Linked DNA regions of Tamandua tetradactyla. The protein of the gene in region 1 purifies or fractionates together with the protein of each later gene. This does not show direct contact. Links are inferred from orthologs where the notes say so. Each region holds a gene or a part of one and is shown on either strand. Other genes may lie near its edges.

Evidence for each region.
Region 2: the proteins of ABL1 (region 1) and NCK1 purify together in Homo sapiens (affinity purification with western blotting; 3 studies listed by BioGRID). This does not show direct contact. The link is inferred for Tamandua tetradactyla from reciprocal best matches to the Homo sapiens genes ABL1 and NCK1.

Annotation. Positions count from the first base shown.
Region 1 is NC_135328.1:53,605,722-53,613,499, reverse strand, and holds the start of ABL1 (tyrosine-protein kinase ABL1), read right to left. Parts: upstream 3,083-7,778; 5' UTR 2,496-3,082; coding exon 2,360-2,495; intron 1-2,359. Other genes in the region: uncharacterized protein LOC143672591, read right to left, coding at 3,096-3,194. UniProt on the Homo sapiens protein: Non-receptor tyrosine-protein kinase that plays a role in many key processes linked to cell growth and survival such as cytoskeleton remodeling in response to extracellular stimuli, cell motility and adhesion, receptor endocytosis, autophagy, DNA damage response and apoptosis.
Region 2 is NC_135341.1:80,872,158-80,880,229, forward strand, and holds the start of NCK1 (SH2/SH3 adapter protein NCK1), read left to right. Parts: upstream 1-4,890; 5' UTR 4,891-4,997; intron 4,998-8,072. UniProt on the Homo sapiens protein: Adapter protein which associates with tyrosine-phosphorylated growth factor receptors, such as KDR and PDGFRB, or their cellular substrates. Maintains low levels of EIF2S1 phosphorylation by promoting its dephosphorylation by PP1.

The DNA.
Region 1 (7,778 bases):
AGTGTGGCCTATTGAGACCTTGATGTGGAACTTGTGGTGGGCAGAGTGTGAGCCAATAAATTTTTGTTGCGTCAAAACAGTAAACAAAACAAAAAAACTTGATAAGCAGTAGTTTCTTAAAGGTTGGTTATGATCTAGAATTTGAAACCATACCAATTAACTTTTCATATTCTGATACTTTGAATAAGGATCTTCTACCTGTGTATGATTTTAGAACATGCATTGATCATTTAGAAAATATCATTCACTGAGTTATGTTGACACTCCAAATGATACATTTCATGATAATATGTCAGAATATCAGATCTGTAAATATCACCATCATCTCTTTACCACAGTGGTGGGTACAAGTTATACAAAATTCTAATTTTCACTTGAAAGCTCAAATTTTATCACTGGCAACAAATTCTATCAATTGTTTTCCTTGAAGAGACAAGTGTCCATATATTTTTCAGAAAATGTCTGCCAAGGACCCAACTGTGAATAATCATAGTTTGTCTATCAGTCATCCATTCAAGCAGTACAGGAAAAAAACAGGTAGTACAGCTTGTGATTCAAACAATCACCCACATGCTTTTCCTAGAAATAACCAATGGATTTCCATACAAAGTAGAAGTGCTTTACACATACCTCTCATTTTGTCCCACATAACATTAAAAAGACATAGACTCAAGGATCAAGAATTAATAAAAGTAATAATTTTTGCTACTTCATCAAAGACATTCTTAAGAGAAACTTTTTTTTTCTTAACTATGGGTACAGGGCATGCAAAATACTATGGTTATAAGTACAGTTAAGCGCCACTCACTGCCTTGATTCATTCCAAGGCACCTGCATTTTTTGCCATATTAGTGCAGATGTCAACACAGTGAAAGAGGCAAGTAACATCTTAGCATTGTATTAATCTGCAAATAGACTTAACCTCTTGACCCCCTCCCTGAAGTAGTAACAGAGACATCTAGGGGAATATGCTGTTCTATACTAGGTTAGTTTCCAAAAGTGAGATTACTGGGTCAATGGTATGTACATTTTAAATTCTGATAAATTCTTCCAAACCTCTCCAAAGAGTCTAACAATTTTCACTGAGACTGCATGATAATGACTAGTTAAAAGGTAAACAACTCACTTTTTAAATCCTGAATTTGAGAAGTACCATAAAGTAACACATTACCATATTTGCCTGTCTATAACCAATGCTAAAATATAACTACGTTTCAAGGCAAAGTAAAATCCAGGTAGGTACCCAGATTTTTTTAGATGAGGTAAATATTTTTCTGTAAGAAAGAAAATATTCTGTAGCTGTCAATTCCAAGTTCATTGAACAGAGGCCTTTATTTACTTGTGCTGATCATTTATGATTGAATTTCAAAGTGTATGCCACTTGTACATATCTTATATTTGCTTACAGGGTGGGTGGGCTCAATTGATATTTTGATATAAAGTATACAATCTGAAAAATGTCAGGTTGCAACAGTACAAACAAGGCTATCATTAACTAGTTTAGATGTTACAGACATCAGTCTAAGCTGACCCTTAGCTTTAACTCCACATGGCATTACTGGAAGAAAATAATACAATATGTACTGTCAGCACTCAAATGCCAACGTTATGTTCATAAAAATGTCAGACAACATTTTTTGCCCAAAATGTCATTTAAAGAGAGAGAGGATGATGAAAATTCATTCAATGGAGAAAGCTCTTTCAATGTAAGGTAAATTAACTAGTAAGTTTATATCCTCAATTTACAAAGAATGCCGCTTCTCCACTCCATTTTCCCCACATAGCCCCAAAGTGAGTATTTTCAAGTACTACTTATGACTGAAAAGGCCAAAGGTACCCGCATCAACTAGAATCTGTGATTCTTAATCTTTTGGGGGCCACACTTTGAGAACGTGATAAAAGCTTACTGTAGATAACTGTACATACATACACACACACACACACACACACAAGCACACCCAGAACAGTGTGTGCAGTATTAAAGGACCCAGGCACCTCAATGAAGAGCCCACGTTTTAGATTATGGCAGACTTTTACAGAACTATGGATCCTAAGAAACCACAAAAGTCCAACCCCCTCAGGAAACTGAGGCCCGAGAACAGTTGCCCAAGGTCAACAGTAAGTAAGAAGGAGAGTCAGGCAAAAAAATGCAACTCAAAGAGAATTTGAACAGGCATACAGAGTCACGAAATAACTTATACAAAGAAAGTTCAAACAGAAACTAAGAGGTAACTGCAGTAAAAGAAGCTTTAAGCAGAATTGGAAGGAACTGGCACAACACTACTGTTCAAAAGTTCCTTGTTGGACTAAACTAAATGCATAAGGAAAAATGACTTCAGAAGTCTTGAAAAGCACTCACCATGTTCCACAAAAACATTGCAGTGTGGGCCCCCATGCCTTGATGATTCCTTCTTGCCTGCTCCTTTGATAAAGGGCAAGGCAGGCAAACTTGGCCTTCTCTGGTCCCCAAGAACTTTTCCAGGCTGCTGCCCCATAAAGTTACGATAGGCACCCCTTTCCAGAAAAGGGTTCAAGATCTTCCAGAATGGTCAGTGAGTTTAAAAGGAAAATAATATATATGTGGGGTTTCACATTCACTGCATCCCCACAAGTCAGTTCATTGAGGTCAATCACAAAAAGACATCTTCCAAGACCCAGTGAAGTTCGGTTTTTAGGTTGATTCATGTAAACAGGAGTTCCAATTACTTTCGCAATCAATTTGAAGTAATGTAATTGTAATGCTACTGAAAAGTTTCTTTAATTTGCCTTTTACTGGCTGAATAACAATTTCCTTCTTTTCAAGAGGAAAACCCTAAATGGAAATATTCACATGGGATGCTGTAAAGGGTCAACATCATTGAAGTCATTTATAGTCCCACATATAATGAAATGTAGAACGTCTTTAGATGGTCTTCCAGAACTTTTCCTGTGGAAGTCACCCACCCTCTTATCTTAGTTTCATCATCTTTCACAAATTTCCTGCCCAACTGGCTGCTGCTCCGGCTTCTGCTCTCCGGAAAAGGACACGGGTCACCCAGATTTCAGCAGGGGCTTGCCCTCGACTTTGTCGAAAAGGAATGCATTGCCAGCAATTTTTAAGTCCGCTTTTTAAAGGGCCTGTGAAACCAATCCAGACTTTTCCTTCGCATTAACGTTTTTGGCTGGGCTGAGACTAAAAGGGCCGTAGGTGACATTGGAAGAAGTCAGGGCATCAGGGGCTCTCGACAGCAACCTGGGGGAAAGGGGTAACCACTTGACAGCAAGGAGAGGATGTGAATGGGGGTGGGGTGGGGGGGATCCGCGGCCAAACTTGAGGCCGGGAGTAAGAGCAAAATGCGGCTCAGGGTAAGGGGGAGGCTGCCGGGATGGGGCACGGGCGGCTTACTCCGGGGCGAAGCTCTTCCACGCTTCAGGAAACGGGGTGTCCCAGGTCTGAGGAGCAGAGACCACCCACAGTATCCCCGAAGCCGGGGCGAGGCTGTAAAGGACGAAGACCCTCGCGGCCCAGAGACAGGTAGCCGGCGGAGGGGATAGGAGGCCCGGCCACCTCAGCTGCCCCGAGCCTGAGGGGCTCTGCTCCAGACACCCCCTCCCCCAGCCCCGGACGTCGTTATTCAGACGCTGCGCCAGGCAGTTACATGCCCTGATCTCCGTCGCGGGACCCAGCCTCCCCCGCCCCACACCGCCGAGAAGGGCCGTCAACAACGGAGGAACTCCTCAGCAGCAGGACCCGGGAACCGGCTCCGGCTCCAGCGCTGCTCAGAGACAGACACCGACCCCCGCGGCAGCCATGATGGATTACGAGCCGCTCCACAACGAGGCCAGGCCCCGCCCCTGACCCCGCCCCCGGCGAAAGACGGCCCGCTCCTCGTGGTGATCCGATTGCCCCTAGCGCCACTTTTGGGGGAAACCGCCGCGCGTTCTGAGTCTGGTGTCACTGCCTGCTAGGGTCGGGTCCTGCTGGACCTTTAAAAAGAGTTTTTTTCTGAGCGCAAGGTGAGTGGTAAGGAAGCACCCGCCTCCTCTGTACAGTCATTGGTCCCCAATAATGCGGGTCAGTCCTCTCGCCTCCGTCCCATTGGACAGTGAGGGCAGTAAGGCTAGAGCCCTCAGCCAATCGCTTTGGGCGCAGCCTGCAGTGCATGCCGGAAGTTGTGGTTCCGTGGAGCGTGCTCGTGTCTGACGGCGCCCGAGACTTCTTGTCCTTTGCTCCTGATTCCTGAGCTTCCGCCCCGCCCTCCTGGGAGCCTGTGGACTCTCGCCCGCCTAGTGCAGGGCGAGCAGACGTCTCCCCTTCGCCATGTAGTGAGATTGGCGAAAAGCCAAAGCAAGGGAAAAACTGTGGATCGGATTTTTACAGAATCGGAGTTGGAGTACTTCCTTGAGCGTCTTTAGAGAAGATTTGGCTCCTGAAAAACAGGCTATTTGGAGCTTCCTCTCCCCACGCCCCACATCTCCATCTTTTCCCCTAAGAACCATAAAAAAATATTAGAACAGTGAAGAAAGGCACAGCTGGAAAGCATCCGACGTATTGCTAACGAATTGTTGGAGTTATCAGAAGCCTCACAACAGCATTTAAGCACCTCTCTTGAAAGCTATGCCAGGCGCATAAATGTTTGAACTAGAATGAACCTTTAAGATTAAATGACCTCAATTCACAGCTGAATATGTGTTCACATAAAAGCATCCCCCAAATTAGCGGAGAAAATACCCCGGGTTGTTGGGTTTAATAGGACTGCAGGGCTAATCACTGACCCAGACACACCAAACTCACATCTGTCATACCCGTCTACTAAAAAAGCACCTTGTTCCCCTACCTATTCTTTGCTTTTCACCTCTCCCCAGAGTGGTGCACCTGTGATATATCCAATTCTAAGGGTATCCACTTATCTCAGGGCCTAATCTACACCTGGCACTGTGCTAACCACTCTTCATAAACTCAAGTTATCTCACTTGAACACTCACACTAGCCCAATGAAATATGTAGCTGTATCCCCTATTACAGATGGCAAAACAAATTCAGAGACATGATTTACCCAAGGTCACTAGGCTGGTATGGAAAAAAGCCAACTTTTGAGCTCAGAACATTTTCCATTGTTATCATCCAGTATCAAATAACTATGGACCTAATGTTAGACCACGGAGTTTTCAGATGGTGCTACTAATATCAGAATAGCCTCAGTATAAATTCTGTACATTCACCTGCCATATGTGGGTCAAAAATTTAGCATCATGAGTTATGTATTTTTAAATAGTTCTGCTGGATTGGGAAACGGGGTTGACTTTATAGATATTAAAGAGTCACTTGAAGATACTGAACGTGAGGCATATGAAAATGTACCCAGATATACGTGTAATTTACAAACTCAGATATTGATTTAGCTTTGCTCACTCTCACAAAATAAACCATGTGGCTGACAAATGTAGTACTGATTTGTAGTCCAGCAATCTGTGGGTCATTCTTCAAACTTCAATGCCCTTGGTTCCCTTTACTTCCCCAACTACCCTGTCCTAATTACCACACACAGTTTTTTGAGATTTTGCTTTCTTTCTACTCCTGTTCATTCCTTAATCAATTCCTCCACATCTTCCCTCTTCATTCTCTGGTTTAGCTCAAAATTGGGCATTTGAATCAGACCTCTTTCAAATACCACATTCCTTGAACTAACAAGCCATTCACCATTCAACAAGCATTTATTGAGCACATATTATTTGCCAAAAACTGTTGTAGGGGATACAGCAGTGGAAAAAATGATTTATTTTCATGGAGGATACATGGCAAGACTACGCAATAAGCAAAGTAAGCAGCAATCCAAACCAACAGTCTTAATAATGGAAACTAAATTTCTGGTCTGTAACCTTTCACAATTAGTCCAAACCTTCCTTGAAGAAGTGCTTTGATATGTCTCTAGAGCTTAAATCTATTCCTGATTCAAATTGGGTCAAGTCACTGATTGTCTCTCTTTACCTATAAACGAAGGTCATATCTGCTTCCTTTACAGGATTATCAGAAGAATTAAATTAGACCATTCCGTTTTCCACATAAAAGACTGAGACGATGCTTCATGACTGGCTTCATGACTGTCAGTGTATAGGTCAATTATACTTTATCTGAAAGCTTATCCCTAATCTCTATTTTCCATTGTTTTCTAATTTTAGGTAAGCCCCAGACCCAAACTAATTTTTTCTAGAGATGTGGTGTATTTTCTTACTTCCTTTATAACACTGTAGAATGATACCTTTGAAGACTCAGAATCCAGAGTCCAGCAAATGCTTGACAGAAATGTTACCAAATGTGGAATAAATCAAGATCAAATATCCTTTTCATTAAAAGTGATTCAGCTCAGTCTAATTTTGTACTCACTTTTATATAACTAAGTAACCCACCAAGTTGCTAAAGGAATCCAGCTCCAGTGTAAAAATGTCTGCTTATCCCATATTTTACACCTACTAGAGATCTACTTAACAAGGGCGCCCTCTAATGGACCAAGAAAGTACCTAGTAGCCAAAAAGGTGCTCCAAACCTTTCTATTACTTTCACTTAGCAGACAATCACCATTCAGCAGATAATGGATGGACACAGGCATTTGAGAGAGAACATGTGCTAAGGATAAACTTTCAACGAGCTTACTATACGACCCTAGTCAAAACCAAACCCAAAATTTACACTGGCACTCTCTCCTATTCCCTTCTCTCAAAAAGCTTAAGATCTGGAAAATTTCTCCAAAATATGCCAAGTGAGAAAAATCTAAGCTAGCTTATTTGATTTCTGCAAATGGTGATACAGCTTGAGAAAGAAAAAAATTGAGATTAAAAAGTTGTCTACTGAATAAGATAAATGATGAAAAAGAGCTGGTCGGTATTTTAAAACCGTCAGATATCGCGTTTAGTTATCTCTGAACCTGTCTTAGATTCACGTTTTACTAGGTGACTTAAGGTAGCTAGGGCTTCTGTCAGAAGGAATTTAGATCACTAAGTCCTCCTTCTACTGTACTCAGCAACCAATTATACAGAAGACAAGAAAAGATACCGATGGTATTAACACAATTATAAATATAAAAAAAACAGTTCACCACATATGTGAAATAAAACAGCAATCTTTTACACAATGCCTTCCCAACAACCTAAACTAAGGCACCAGTTTTAGTCATCAGTAAAGCAGTAATGCAGAGGAATTCTAGCATTCCTAGGAACATCAAAACCTTGTTTTTATCTTTTGACACTAAATTAATTGAGTTAATGCATTACAACATAAATTCTAAGAGGAAAACAACTACTATTTTCCTATCTCCATTTTTCTTACTTTGTTTTCATGTTTTTAGCCTCTGATGAATTAAAGAAGCACTCAAAAGTACAGAGACTCAACATTCATTCTATTATCAATAATTCAGCTTTATGGATATACTTGCAACTATCAACAGACTGAGCATTCAATGGGAAGTTATATTCAAACCAAGCAAACAGCTGCTTGGTTAACCTTATTCTTCCATTCAACTGCTGGGTTAACTCTACCAACTGTATTCTTCAAATACAACTGGATTGTTGTACTTGTACTTTAAAGGAGGTGGGAACAGAGGCCAAAACAGACAATTTAGGGGTCAAGGATGTCATGTTTTTTATAGGGGCAATTTCATGGGGTATTGTACATTCTGAATGATGGTGAGTAGAAGACAAAGGATTCTCCATATTATTCTAGGATGGACGTCCATTCAGCTGGAACACTGCACGCTCTGAAAGACCTGAAACTACCCCCTAGTGCTGGGACTCTGCCTGCAACC
Region 2 (8,072 bases), on another chromosome or scaffold:
GAAATATCACTGGTGTCTTTATTGTTTTTAACAAAAACTTTGGGAGAAGAAGAGCATTAACTTTCATCATTAAGGAATACAAGCCTTGAAAAAATGACCCCTTTCAGATCTACAGTCTGAGCATTCAAAAAGTACAATAATTAAAAAAAAATTTTTTTTAAAGTAGAATAATTTTTATGTGCAGTATTCTACAAATGTTTAGCAACAATCCTTCAATATTAAAAATCTTCTGGGTGGGCCACGGTGGCTCAGCAGGTAAGAGTGCATGCCTGCCATGCCCAAGGACCCGGGTTCGATTCCCGGTGCCTGCCTGTGTTAAAAAAAAAAAAATCTTCCTTTGTGAATAGTACGCTAAAAGGTGAAATATTGAATATCAAGCCCTATTTTGTCATCTACTTGCATTAGAAAACTAGATAAGACTGGAGTAAGGGAACTTGAGTTGAGGCAAGAAAGAGGGAACAAGGAAAGGAGCTAGGTTTTCAATGACAATGACTGTTGTCCTAGATTAGAACAGGATACTGGTCTTCCCCTTGCTGTGGCCGCGTTAGGCAATGCATTAGGCAATGCATTAAGAAATGGAGGGAGGGAGAAGGCTGGATTCCTGCCAGCCCTACTTAATCCATGCTATTTTGTACTTGACTGTAGGAGACCTTATGTTGGGGCAGGGCGCCTTCAGCTGTATATCTCTCTTCCAAAAATGCCCTTTCTAATTTTGTGGCAAGTAAAGGCACTCCTTAACCCTGAAAAAGATAGTAATAGTAATCATAGTATTGCAAAATTTATATGAGTCTTTTAAAATGGATCTAAAATGTATAAAAGTATATAAGGTAGTATTTTCTTACTTTGGGCCATTATTACTATCTTAGCACAAATGTTGATATGGCACTGGTAATTATTGTCTCTCAGCTCCAAATTCACTCATCTATACTTTGCTCGTTGATGGCTTAGACTCTGCAAGCTACATTTTTCCTTTGTCACCTGGTGTTTCACTATGTTCCACCAATAATGGGCATTAGAGGGAGCCGGGAAGGCAGAGAAGGGACTTCCTCCTTTTTGTTTGCTTGCAGTTCCGGTCATTGTTACCCCAGCAATAAGCAATAATCCTTTCCGCAGGAGCAGCAATTGGTTCCAGACTTGAGTTTCTTTCGGCAACCCCCAAACTAGCTTCCTATCCCTCTCAGAAACAGAAGGACCAGTGGGACAGTTTCCCTCCTCAAGGTTCTGAGCTCCAGCTCAGTGGGGCCATTCCTCTAAGCTTCTAAGGCCTGATCGTCCAACCTCTTCTTTTTCAGAAGTCTGAGGAGTGGAAGCTTCACCCTGTACTTATCACCTGTGAGCTACATCAGTGTTTCCTTTTTGCTTTATTAGTTGATCTACACCCAATATTAAATACTCTCTGTTATCCTATCTTGTAATCACTAAATACTCTGTATGGTCTTATCTTGAGATGGTTATGTCTTCAAACCTTCTCCAAAGGAATACAGCCATTGGTAGTATGTTTGTGCTTTGGGAAAATGTCAACATTCAGATTTTTCAGGGATTACTAGACATTGGATCTCAATAGAAATTACCCAAATTGAAAAACATAAAGAAAAAGTTGAAAAAAGTGAACAGAGCTAAGTATACTTAGCTAAAATGCCTAGCTAAGTGAAACTATAGTCCCAGAAGAGGAGAGAGAAGAGAATCAGGTAGAAAACAAATTTGGAGAACTACTGGGCAAAAATTTTCCAAATTGATAACAAACAAACAAACAGCAACGTACAGATCCAGGGAACTCAGTGAACCCTAGACAAAATAAACACAGGGAGAACTGCACCTAGAAACATCATAATTTGCCAATAAAGAAAGATCAAGGAAAAAATCCTAAAAGCAGCCAGAAAAAAGAACTAGGACATACAGAAAAATAATAAGAACTACAATTACAGTCAACTTAGATACAGTGGAGGACAGTCAACAATGGAATGACATTTAAACAACTGAAAGAAAGCCCTTTGATGGCTTCTCAATGCCTATAGGGTGAGGTGTAAGGTCTTTTACTTAACAAGATCTTCAACGACCTACCTTTGATTACATTTCTAGTCACCCTCTGTTCCAGAAATACTCTATTTTTAATCCCCCTTTTCCCCCCCTACAGGACCCTCTGCATGGAATGCCCTTCTCTTTTCTGCCTAGTTAATTGACCGACTAGCCTGATCACACAACTTTGCTGCCTTTTGACTTTATGTCCCTCTGGACATATCTATTGTATTTACTGCATTAATGCCATATTTGTATGGCATTCTCTGAAATGGATAGAGCTCCTTTAAGGCAGGGACTGAGCTTTAAATTTCCAGTACTTGTTATAGTACCTACTACAGTGTGGACCCTCAATCAATGTGTGTAGAACAGATTCCCATAAAAGTATGAAAATGTTTAATTCAGACATTGTTTAGTTACCAGGGTCTACTAACTTTGATACATCACAGTTGAGCCTATGATTAATTACTTACCTTTGCTGATAGGGCTTTTTTGGTCTAAACATTCCTGCCTGTTGGTGATGCTATCATTCTCTCTAATAATTTATAACTATAAGCTATCTATAGTTTCCCAGGAAAGGCTTTGGAACATGGAGGCTCATTTTTCCCTTCCTTGTCTTCCCAAATCCTTTTGGATTAATGACATGAGTCACCTACCTGTTTTTGTTTCTAGACAGTTATCTGCCCATATCCCAAACCCCACCTTCAGTCCACAAGTCATTAGTCTTTACCTAAATTTTGTTGTTGTCTAATTCTGGCTAGTCCCTGTTCCACTGAGCCATAATTAGCAAAGATGATTCCTGTTTTTGGTTCGCATTCCACTGACAGAGATAAGCCATGTGCCTGTATATGTTTGGAAGTAGGGGAGAGTGTGCAAAAGGTGGTCTCTGGGACAACTCCCTCCTTCTAAGTACACCAAACTGAAATTTTCATAGATGATTTTCTGCCTAACTATCCTTTCTCTCTATGCTTTCCTCTTTCATTTCAGTTTTCAATAAGAAAATTGGCTGTTTTCTTATTTTTCTACTTTGACTCTTTTTCATACATTTTTTCAGATATTTTTAACATTCTTAGTAAGAATGTGTTATGAAGCAGACTAAAGGAAAAAGTTAAGTTTATAGGGAACTGACACCCTTCTATGAAAAAGCAGATTTAAGCTCTCTCCCTTCCTTGCAGCTGTTGCTTCTATTGCTTAAATAACTGACATACAAGTTAAGAAATCTGTGAAAGGTCTGCTCAGATTACTGGCCCATTCAAAAGACAGATTCCCTTAACAAAATTAAATTTAAATGTATGACTCGAGCATATTTTTTTCTGGGATTATCTTCCCTGCTTCAGATATCAGTATAAGCTACCTGAAGGTTAGGATTCTATTTTACCAGTTTTTGAATTTACACCCCTCTCCCCCTCCTCACGTGTTAAACACGTAACTAGAATTGAATTGAGTCAGGTCCTAACAGTTTGCTGTGTGATCTTTTGGACAAATCATTTAACATCTAGATAATCATTTCTACACTTCAAAAATGAGAGAATTACTATCTCAAGCTATAAACCTTATGAGATCTTTTAATAAGTAAGAATAGCATGACATGATAACGCAAAGTTACTCAGACCCTTAGAACAAACCCCAAATTCACTTGCATTATTGATTCGGTTGCTCATAATGGAATGTGGCTACAGAGTAGCTGTTGGCCAGCTGTGTTTCACGGTCTACTTGGCGCAGCCAACTTGAGGCCCGGAAGTAACTACAGGCGATTTGTGCTTGACCTTGTGATTCCCCATATGGCAGGCAAACCACATGCATACATCAGCACGCAAACGGATCATTTTGTAGTTGAATCGTTAAATACAAATAACTGCCATGACCCTGGGATTTAGTCAGGGACAGGATTAAAGGAGGGAAAGATGCATTAACGCCTTAAACAAATATTTACCGCTGTCTTTCATGTGCCCTGGGGAAAAGCTGAACAGACACTGACATAGTTCCTGACCTAAGGGAATTTACAGTTTAGATGGGAACAAGGACTACAGTTCTGTTGGGAAACGGATCTGCAATCCGAGAAAGGTAACGTAAGCCTGCAGGCTTCTCGGAGGAAGCAACACTTAAACTGAGCAACAAAGAGAGGGAGCAGGGAACTAGGCCGATGTCGCCGGGGGCTGGGGAGGGCCTGCAGGGCTGGGGGAAGGGGGGGAGAACTAAATACTGCCTACCCAGCAGGTGGCCGGGACTGGCCACGGAGAACGATTACCCCAGGCGAGACTGGAAGCTGCCCTTCCAAGGCCCTCAGCGCCAGCTCATTTCGGCTTATGGACCAAATATAAGCATATAGCTTGCATTTTTTTCCCCTCCCATGTACCTATTTCCTAGCCCTTTTGCTCGCTCCCCGCCCCCAGGAACCTTCAGCTGCCAAGATCCTCAGGGACAAAATCCAGGGAGGAAGTAAATTCTCAGAGCAGCTGGGGCTGAACTCCACAAGCAGTGACTTTTTGCAGCGGAGTGGCTCTGCGGGCGCTGAGCAGCAAGGCTCAAAATCGTCAGCTGCAGCAGCCGGGGAGCAGCGGCGGAGAGACTCCGACCCAGCGCAGCCCACCCGCTAGTCCTCTGGCCTGTGGTCGCAGCGCAGCCTCAGCTCCCGCCACGCCCACTTCAGCGCTTGATTGACAGCTCGGCCTGCTCAATCCTAGAGCGGCACCAACCACCGTCGAGGGAGGGGCTGGAGAGAAGGGAACGGGCGAGCCTATCAGGACCCGCTGGGAGAGCGAGGTTTCCTGTCGGGGCGGATCCGCCGGTAAGTGCTCGGCCAGTCGGCGCCGCCGCCCGCCCACCCGCCGGCCGCGCGCGCTCCGCCCCCGCCCCGCCCCTCTCCCAAGAGCTACGCGGCGGCGGAGCGCAGGCCTCGTGCCGTAACGGCCATCGCGGCGGCCGCGGCGGCGTCCTGGTGGGCTCCTCAGGGGAGCTGGAGCGGCCTCGGCGCCGCAGAGGTGAGTCGAGGCGAGGCGGGGCGGCTTCGGGGCAGAGCCACGCCGGGAGGCCGCATCTCTCTCCCTCCCCTGTGTGTCCGCCCGGCTGGTGACTCGCCGTGTCGCTTCCTCTTCTCTGGCGAAGTTAGCAGCCCCGGCGCCTTCTGCCGGCTCCGAGCTGAGGGCAGCCGGAGGGGGGCGGGGAGCCCGCGGGGCCGGGCCTGGGCGTTCGCACCGCGGCCCCGCGCGCCCCTCGGGCCTCCCTGTCTGGCCCCGGGACACCGCGTCGGGGTGAGCGCGCCGGCCGGCGACCCTTGCGAGGCCCGGGTGGGCGGCTGTGCGGCGCGCGCTTCCCAGCCTGCTTGCCTTCTTAGAGAAAGTCCTGCTGGTTGCCGTGTGCCTAAACCGAGGCGGGGAAGGTGTGGACAGGATGGAGAAGGGCCGGGCGGGGGAGGGGCTGGCACCTCCCGGCCGAGGGGAGGGGAGGCGCCGGGCCGGGCGCTGAGGGGTGGACATATGGACGGCCCCTCCTCCCTCCCCCACCCCCAGCAGCTTTCCTCATCCTCGGGAAATCTGGGTGGTTTTTTTTTTTTTTTGATGGTTCGGACCAGCCTTAGTTCCATTCGCGAGTTGCTCGGGCTGCGGGATTTTGACTTGAGTTGTAATATATCCGTTAAAAGATTATCTTGATAGGTTGGTCTTGTAACCTTTCCTAATGTATTTCCATAAAAGTTAATTTCGCCCTTTGAAGCTTGGGAAGCTAGGTGTTGTGCAAGAGCTGAAGGTAACGTTATAGGCGCTTATCTGATGTCGAGCTGAGGAATTGAAGTCACCGAAAATTCTAACCGTTAGTTAGGAAAGAATAAAAAGGGTTTAAAGGAGAATTTTCTAACCTCATTTTCGGAGGGGAGAAAAGCATCTCAGTGTCTGGTCAAAACGGGTAGGTATTGCAAGATTTAAAAAAAGAATCTTACTCTGATAGGTTTATGAAAAAACATTAACGATTTATTAAGCCCCCCATTTTTCAGCGAGGTCACAGATTAAATGGGGGAAATAATTCAACGAAAAGTTTTTTTTTTTTTGTAGTTGTCAGTAATGGACCGTTCTTAAATAGGCATCCCCTTAAAGCTAGATTACTCAGTAGGTTTGCATTGCTTAACCAATAGTAGTTTCATTTCATCTTGACCCAGAACTCTGGGATTTTTTTCTTTGGGAAAATTGTGATTTGTAGGAATTAACTCTAATATCTGTAAATACAGTTTACAGGGTGTACAAGTCTTGTGCACAGTTGTGTTTGTTCATGTATTGAATTTTAAATTCTTTGCTGTATCTCTCCACGTATTACTTGTTAGCCCAGATCTTCCCAGTGCTTTGAGGCCCATGTAAAACCTGAACCATAGATGGAATGCTTTGTTAGACATTGAGTGATGCTTTGCGCTGCTGGGTTTCTTGTTTTTCCTTTGACTTTGACGTTTTGATTAATTTCTGTTGTGGAATCGGATTAAAAATCTCCTTAATTTCTTTAAAAGAAAAAGCTTGTTTTCTCTAACTTTGTTTAGAGAAAATAGTACAAAATGTAAATATATTGCTCAACGAATTGTTCAATTTGGGAAGACATCAGTATATTCATCACCCAAGATTTAGAACATTTCCAGGGCGGCAGAAGACTCATGCCCCCTCTCCTATAGCCACTATTCTCACCTGTCACTAGGTGAGAATTAAATTACTTTTGCCTGTTCTTGAATTTAATGCAAATGCAAGCAATATGTACTGTTTTTTGTGGATAGCTTATTTAGCTTATCATTGTGTTTGTGAGATTCATCATGATGTTGGGTGTAGCAGCAGTTGGTAATACTCCTACGGGTGAATATACTACAATTTTCTTCTTTTAAATTAAGCATTGGTGGGCTTTTGGCTTGTTTTCCAGTTTTGGGCTATTGTGAATAAAGTTGCTGTGAATATTCTTGCCTAAGTTTTTCAGTGGATATACATGCTCCTTTCTTTTGGGTGTATATATACTGGGAATAGAATTGCACTTTCGGTATCTACCAGTTTTTGAAGCTGCTTGAACCTGCCCTCCGTATCTGGTACATAATAGTTTTTTTGAAATTTCCCCCTTTATCATAAAACTGGTGACTCCCTTTGCCTTTCTCCTGTGTTAAGTCTGTTTCTGTGAGTTATGCAGTTCTTTTTCTTGGTTTATTCCCTCCTTTTGAAGGAGTATATCCTACAGTAGCTTCCTGTGAAAGGTTGAGACCTTGCATTTGTGGAAACCTTTTTTCTGCCTTCCCACTTGGTTTGATTGGGTGACCAGTTTTAGGTTGGAAATATTTTTCATTCAGAATTTTTAAGGTGTTGCTCAATTGTTTTCTAGCTTGTGAACCTTTTGAGAATTCTGAAGATAATTCTTATTTCTGCTCCTGTGTAATGTTTGTTTCTTTTCTGGAAGTCTGTATATCCTGTATTCTTAAATTTCATAGGATGTGCTGTTTTCATGGACATTTATTATGTCTTCTAAATCTACAAAATTATTTTCATCAGGTGTGGGAAGTTTTTTGAATTATTTTTTCAGTGTATTTCTGTCACCTCCTTTTTCTTTCTCTTTCTCTGAACATTCTATTATTTGGTTGGACCTCTTTGACTAGTTTCCTTTTTTCTTATATTTCTTCTATTATTCGTCTAGTAGTTTTGCTGTATTTTATGTGGGTGGTTTCCTTGATTTTATTTCCTAAGCCATCTGCTGGAGTTTTCATTTTTCCTGTAAAGATTTTGAGTTCTTTATTCTCTTAAAATTTCGTTTTTATATAGTATAGAGTTCTTGTTTCATGTTTGCAAATCTTTAATTTCTGAGGAAATAACATTACTTAAAAAACAACTTGTTTTCTCCTCTCAGAGTTTGTTTCCTCTAAGTTGTTTTTTTTTTCCATTTCTTTTGGTCTCTAACTTTTATGTTGGAGGATTACATCAGATGTCAGTCTTTAGGTGTTTATTGGTGATTGACAGCTAAAAAGCCTGATTACCTGATGGGGACTTATAGACTGAATTTCATTGTATAATGTTCTAAATGAGCCTTTTTTTTTTTTTTTTTTTTTTTGA